2 linked regions of the Canis lupus familiaris genome follow. The protein of the gene in region 2 interacts with the protein of the main gene of each other region in a biochemical or structural test. Links are inferred from orthologs where the notes say so. Each region holds a gene or a part of one and is shown on either strand. Other genes may lie near its edges.

Region 1 (4,011 bases), on a different chromosome or scaffold from region 2:
AGACTTAATTATTCTAAAAGTGGTGCTAATTTTCTTTCCTTGTTGCTAGCACTTAGCTAGTGTAGGGTTCCAAAGTGAGAAATTGTTACTACTGACTGAATTTTAAGACATAGTCAATGAGCAGGAGTCTGAATTTTAAGACATATTCAAAGAGCAAGGGTCTGAGTAGGAAAAAACCCTTCTTAATTTAGTCTTGGGCACTTTGATCACTTACTGTCACAAGCCAAATCAAGGTTTGTTGCAGTTATCCAAAATGTTCCCTCTTTTAGAAAATTTCTTTCTTTATTTTAATGATGCTCTTTGAATCGTAAACTGTTTCCATCCACCAGACTTGTGACTGGCTCTTTATCTTGCTGTTGCATGCTCTGCTAACTCATTTTGCCAAGGATGCTCCACTTTTTGACACTATTTTATTTTCCTACGGCTTTGTGATATTTGTTTTGTTGTTTTTAGATACATCCAGTTACATCCTGCATAATGATTAATCTTCATAGATTATCTCCCAGTTTTGATTATGTATGTCATGCTTCCCTTCCAATGCCATTTTTAGGGACTCAGGACTAGGGAAGATCATACTATGTTCACTCATTCCCCTCTCCCTCACATCTTTAGAGAGATAAAATTATTTTTTTCAATATCAAGAGCAGGTCTAAAGGGGAAAAAGATACAAAATGATAGTCTAGGGGGTTTCTGTGCAGTGGAAAAGGCATCTTGTCTGTTTGCTTGAGAAATACTGGGGATGTTTATGAGATGATTGGTCAGCCAGCAGAAACATTCTTTCTCAACATAAAACCCAAGACTTGTCTTTTGCGATGAATGGATAAAGAAGATGTGGTTTATGTATACAATGGAATATTACTCAGCTATTAGAAATGACAAATACCCACCATTTGCTTCAACGTGGATGGAACTGGAGGGTATTATGCTGAGTGAAGTAAGTCAGTCGGAGAAGGACAAACATTATATGTTCTCATTCATTTGGGGAATATAAATAATAGTGAAAGGGAAAATAAGGGAAGGGGGAAGAAATGTGTGGGAAATATCAGAAAGGGAGACAGAACGTAAAGACTGCTAACTCTGGGAAACGAACTAGGGGTGGTAGAAGGGGAGGAGGGCGGGGGGTGGGAGTGAATGGGTGACGGGCACTGGGTGTTATTCTGTATGTTAGTAAATTGAACACCAATAAAAAAAAAAAAAAAAGACTTGTCTTTTGCCAAAAAAAAAAAAAAGGCCTTCTACAGTTTCTGCTTAATCACCAGCAGCCTGAAAATTCCCCCATTTCTCAAAAAAGCAGTTATCTCCCACCGATCCAAATATCACTGTAATCATATAGCATGTAACATGTATAGCAGGTACATTTGCTTTACAGAGAAAAGGACACTTTTAAAACTATAATCATCTGCTTCTTTAACAAGGTAGATAAAGACTGCCACCCTAATTCTACCAAAAACAAATTAAAAACATTAAAATATTAACACTACCTTGCATAGGTTATGCTGTAGCATTGCTGGCTATGTGATGGAGAAGGTTTAGGTCTAGCTTCGGACTGCTAACATTCCATAGCCAAATGACCTCATTTTGCAAGCAGGAGAGCTCCTCCCCACCTCCTTCTCCAATACCCCCAGGAAAGGGGCCAAAAAACCAAAAATGATAAAAGGACAGCAATAAAAATAAATATATTGGAAAAGAATAGCTTCAGTTTCTCCACCTCTAATTGAAGGCTGGCCTGCAAGCTCTGAAAGGCCCCTGCAGTTACGGTTTCAAGTCCCCAGTGCTCTCAACAGTGATGACATGGTCTGCGCACCTCTGCCTCACCGCCAGGAGGGCAGAGGGAAGCTAAGGGAACCTGCTGTGGAGTTAGAAGATTCAGTCTTGGCAGGATAGTGGCTGGCCCTGGAGGGGACTCTGGATCAGAGGTGGGGGGCAAAGGATGGATCCCTCCAGGTAATCTTTGGGGAATAGGGGAGTGATCTCCCCGCTGGAACATACTGGGCTTCCTTCTACCTCGTCTCCCAAGCTGCAGACATCCCTCCCTGACCTCGATTTTGCTTTTTCCAGTTCTTTTCTCTGAGCCAAGCACTGGAAATCCCTATTTTATCAGATGGCATCTGCCTTCACTGGCTTTCGCTGCGGCACTGATTGAAAGCCCGGCTGGCGCACTTGCCTCTCCAACTCTGTGATACAAAGAAAGTCTCCGTTCTTTTTCCTGACCTGGTGCGTCAGAACCTAGAAAGGCACCGAGCGCACCCCCGTCCCCTTCTAAAGGGCCAGAAGGGGGCCTGTTTCGTCGCTCGGGGTGATCTGAACGCAACAGGAGCTCACTCCCTAAAGGAGAGCGGCGCTCTCCCGAGTTCACCGGCAGCAGCGCCAGGTGATCGGCAGGTGTCAAAGTCCAGTTCGGCTTTAGCCATCAATCCGGCTAGTCATTGCCACGAAAGGGAACGCACTTTAATTTTCGGCATGTTCGTTCGTTCAAGTTTTCCCGGGTCCGCGGGCCACGGACGTCCCGCGCGTGAGGGAGCCCAGCCAGGTGCGCGGGACCTGCGGGGCTGGGGGCCGGTGCGCGGCGCCGCGCGAGGGTCGTCAGAGGCGGGAAGCCGGGGAGCCCCCCCCCCCCCCCCAAGCCGACAGCAGAAAGGGAGGAAGAGAGCGAGGCAGGTGGCCCGGGGAAGGCGCCAGGACGGCGGGCGCGGGCGCTCACCTGGGCAGGTGCCCGCACAGCAGGCGAGCAGCAGCAGCAGCAGCAGCGGCGGCGGCGGGGGCGGCGCGGGCATCTCGGCCGCTGCGGGCATCTCGGGGCTCAGCGCGGCACGCGGGGCCCTGGCAGTGCCTCCGGGTCCCGGACGCGCGGCTCGCGGGGCTCCGCCGCCAAGTTTTAAATCTGGCGGACACGTGGGCTGGGGCGGCGCGGTCCCCACGCGCGTCAGCTCGCCGCCCACGCCCCCGGGCTCCGTCGCGTCACTCGCGACCCGCCGCCCGCCCCCGGCCCCCACCCGCGGCGGGACCCGCCCCCGGCCACTGTCGTGACTCAGGGCGCCTCTCGCTCCGGCCGCCCCGGGGCTCGGGGATGAGCCTGGAAACGACCCAGTGCACGTCCGTTCCCTGCTCGGAGAGGGTCTGGGCGGGGGCTGGAGAAGGAGCGCGAGCCCGGAGGCCCGAAGGGGCCGGGATCGGGGTTCTTACGCGGGGTGGGGGGGGGTCCTGGGACGCCCCTGGCGCACCTCTCGGGAAGGCCTCCTCTGCCGCACCCACTGTGCGCACCTCCACCTCCGCAGAAGCACCTCTGTCCCGCTCTTTCCTTCGTCCCCAGCTCCCAGCTCAAGCCCGGTGCGTACCGGAGTACCAGTGGTGACCCTGGTGTTCCCCCAATTCCTGCAAGATCTGAGATCATTTAGGGAAATGCAGTTATCTGTTGAAGAAGCTCGAGGAGAAAGGATTGCTGGGATTTGACCACACATACATTTCCAATAGGTCTGGAAGGTCTCTGGCTATCCTATGTGTTCCCAAGGTTGCTCGTTTTTCCATGCGTTTCTCCCGCGGTCCCTCCCCCTAGCTGTTGCTTTCTGATTTCTAGGGTGATGGGAACTCTGCCATCCCCCTCCATACTTTCCTTTACTTCCTAAGTGGAAATGTCCAGGAAGCAGCCTCTCTAGGACACTGGCTGATACTGTTTTAATTTCCTTCTACTGAAAGAGGGAAGACTGAGCTCATTTGACCTCCTTACGAAAGCAACACAGAGGAAAGGGTAGAAAGGAAGTACATTAACATTTCCTAAGGGACATCTTCCCCTGCTATTTAATTTAACACTCATGTCATCTCTGGAAGGTAAAACTATTATGACGCTTATTTGATGATACTGATGATACTTGGAGATTAAATTGTCTGCCCAAGGATATCAGCCTGTGGGAGAGACCCCTCTGCGAAGACCTTTCTTCTCTAAGCTGGGGATTTTAATGCACTAGAAATGCACTGTGCAAAGCACTATAGGCAAAGTGGGGCCTTAAAGACTAG
Region 2 (3,186 bases):
ACTCGATCCCTAGACCCCGGATCACTCCCTGAGCAAAAGGCGGATGCTCAACCACTGAGCCACCCAGGTGTCGTGGTTTCTTTTATTTCTTAGCAGGACATGAAATCATGTTTCTCGGGATCCCTGGGTGGCTCAGCGGTTTAGCACCTGCCTTTGGCCCAGGACATGATCCTGGAGGCCCCGGGATCAGTCCCACGTCGGGCTCCCTGCATGGAGCCTGCTTCTCCCTCTGCCTGTGTCTCTGCCTCTCCCTCTCTTTCATGAATAAATAAAATCTTAAAAAAAAAAAAAAATCATGTTAGTGTCGCTGGCCCCTTCGGTCTCCTGGATCCCCAGGGATTTCCGAGTGACTTTTCTGGGCGTCTCTGTTCTGTTCCACAGGCTCCTCTCTGCTTCAATTGCTCCATCCTCCCCGGAGACACGTCCCCACGGGACGCGGGGAGCCTGGTGCCCTGCAATGGCAGTCGGGCGTTGGGGCTTTCTGACCCCGAGGACTTAAACCTCACCGACGAGGAACTGAGAATCAAGTACCTGGGGCCCCAGCAGACAGAGCTGTTCGTGCCCATCTGCATCACGTACCTGCTGATCTTCGTGGTGGGCGCCGTGGGCAACGGGCTGACCTGCGCGGTCATCCTGCGCCACAAGGCCATGCGCACCCCCACCAACTACTACCTCTTCAGCCTGGCGGTGTCGGACCTGCTGGTGCTGCTCGTGGGCCTGCCCCTGGAGCTCTATGAGATGTGGCGCAACTACCCCTTCCTGCTGGGCGCCGGGGGCTGCTACTTCCGCACGCTGCTCTTCGAGACGGTGTGCCTGGCCTCGGTGCTCAACGTCACGGCCCTGAGCGTGGAGCGCTATGTGGCTGTGGTGCACCCGCTGCAGGCCAGGTCCATGATGACTCGGGTGCACGTGCGCCGTGTCCTCGGAGCCATCTGGGGCCTCGCTGTGCTTTGTTCTCTGCCTAACACCAGCCTGCACGGCCTCCAGCAGCTGGAAGTGCCCTGCCGGGGCCCGGTGCCCCACTCGGCTGTGTGCACCCTGGTCCACCCCCGGGCCCTCTACAACCTGGTCGTGCAGATCACCACCCTGTTCTTCTTCTGCCTGCCCATGGCCACCATCAGCGTGCTGTACCTGCTCATCGGGCTGCGGCTGCGGCGGGAGCGATTACTGGTGCTCAGGCCGGAGGCCAGGGGCAGGGCCGGGTCGCGCGACAGCTGCAGATTTCCGGGCTCGCAGGATCGGGGGCGGACACAGGTGACCAAGATGCTGTGTAAGTGCTGCTACCGGGAAGAGAGGCGGGGCCAGACCCTGGGGGGTGAGGCTAGAGCTTCCGGGACCTGGGGGCTGAGGGTCTGGGTTTCCGATGGAGGCTGAGTGTGAGGTCTGGAGTTACCCCCCTCCCCCCGCCCTGTGTGTGTGCACGCACGTGTGTGATTACTCTCTGAGAGACTCGTATCAAAGATAAATGGCAGTATGGGCCACATAATTTGTGGGGGCTGAGGCAAAATGCAAATTTGGGGTCCCCTGTTCAAAGATCATTATGACTGTCCAGAGAGCAATAGTCATTAAACTAAGCCCAGGGTCCTTCTAAGCTTGGAGGCCTGTGCAGATGGTGGCAGAGGGTGGCTCACCCATGCAGCTGGCATTGGCTCGTGGAATCAAACTCACAGACTGGGCAAGGGCATGTGGCTGGCTTCTGGGAGGGCAGAGCTGTTCGTGGGAGCTGGACCCTACAGGTCTCTCATCTTTGCTCCTAAACATCTCTTTGCTCCGAGGCCAAGGGCAGCCTGGGAAGCATAGCCATGGGCACAGAGTTCCTCTTTCTTGAGGAATGGCCCTCTTCTCTTAATGGCTGTTGAAACGTCCCAGGTAAGAATTCTGATTGACAGGCTTAGGTCATGGCCTGCTCCCAGGCCAGAGTGGCAGGATGCCGAGGTCTGTAGCCCCCACACGTAGACTCACATGCTGGGATCTGGGGGGAGCAGAGTTCCCCAGAGAAGGCGAGCAAGGTGTTGGAAGGGCAAGATGATAGGTTTCCTCCATGTAGTACCTGTGGGTCCTCGAGGACCGCGGGGATGACTGTTGTCTAAAAGAGGCTCATCAGGAGGTGTGTTTGTGAGGGTCAGTGTGCAGAGCACAGGAGAGTCAGGGCAGAGGTGTGGATGGGGGCAGGCCAGCTGGGTGGAGGCTCTGGGTCTTACTCTTCTCTAGATCCGGCCCTTTTTCAAAATCAGAGGCTCTGAGGAAGCCAGACTAAATGACACAAAGCCAATTCACGATTTCCTCCTCAACCTGACCCACCCTCGCAAGGCCTGAATCAGGTAGATGGACTGAGCCAGGGCAAGACAGAGGTAGTGAGACCTTGGTCAAAGCCATGGGATTATAGCCAGCTCACTGGGGACTGCCCTATTCCCAGAAAGAGACCCATTCTTCTTGTGCCCCAGTAAGTGTCCCAAAGCCAAGGCCACTTGTGCAGCTCCCTAAAGTGGACTGACCCCAGAGTTCCAAGCTTGCCTTTCAGCTCTGCCCTGTGAAGCCTGCCCTACAGACCCCCTGCCCCCTCTGCCTCTGCCTCCTACTCCTTTGCCCTGCAGGTACCAAGTCTGCTCAGCTGGGATGGCCCTCACCCTGGGAAGCTGGGGTGGTTCCTTCAGGGATGGTGCCTGGCTTGCTGGCCTGGGGCTCTGGCCTTCTCTCCCTCCCTCCCTCCTTCCCCCCAGCTTCACTTTCAGAGGGCCATGGGCTGGGGATGTGGGCTAGGGATGTTGTAAGCAACATCCTGATGGAAATCCCAGATGATGAGGGAAAACCGTGCTGGGGTGTGGTGGGGAAGGCACGGCAGGGGAAGATAGGCAGTTGGAGAAGCAAACACAAGAGATAAGAAACAAAAATCAAGGCAAGCCCGATGACAGGCATGACTGGTTGACACTACAGCTGAAGGGAAGCTCTGGGAAGCTGGGTGACGTCTTAGCTAAGAGTCACCTAGTTCCAGACTCTTGTGATGGGAGAGCCAGACTGGGCCAGCTTGGCTCACGCGCCCACACCTGGTCCAGTTGACTGTGGCTGGGAGTAGGGCAGGGGCCCACTGCCCAGGCAGTGACAGTGGTGAGACCAGCCTTCCTGAAGGGCGTGCTGAGGCTAGGGTGGGCAAACTTCCAGAACCTTCCAGATGGACAGTGGGCGTGG

Evidence for each region.
Region 1: the proteins of NMUR1 (region 2) and NMU form a complex in vitro, tested with the Homo sapiens proteins (2 studies listed by BioGRID). The link is inferred for Canis lupus familiaris from reciprocal best matches to the Homo sapiens genes NMUR1 and NMU.

The regions. Positions count from the first base shown.
Region 1 is NC_049234.1:48,653,499-48,657,509, forward strand, and holds the start of NMU (neuromedin-U), read right to left. Parts: upstream 2,822-4,011; 5' UTR 2,793-2,821; coding exon 2,702-2,792; intron 1-2,701.
Region 2 is NC_049246.1:43,581,414-43,584,599, reverse strand, and holds part of NMUR1 (neuromedin-U receptor 1), read left to right. Parts: intron 1-381; coding exon 382-1,270; intron 1,271-3,186. UniProt on the Homo sapiens protein: Receptor for the neuromedin-U and neuromedin-S neuropeptides.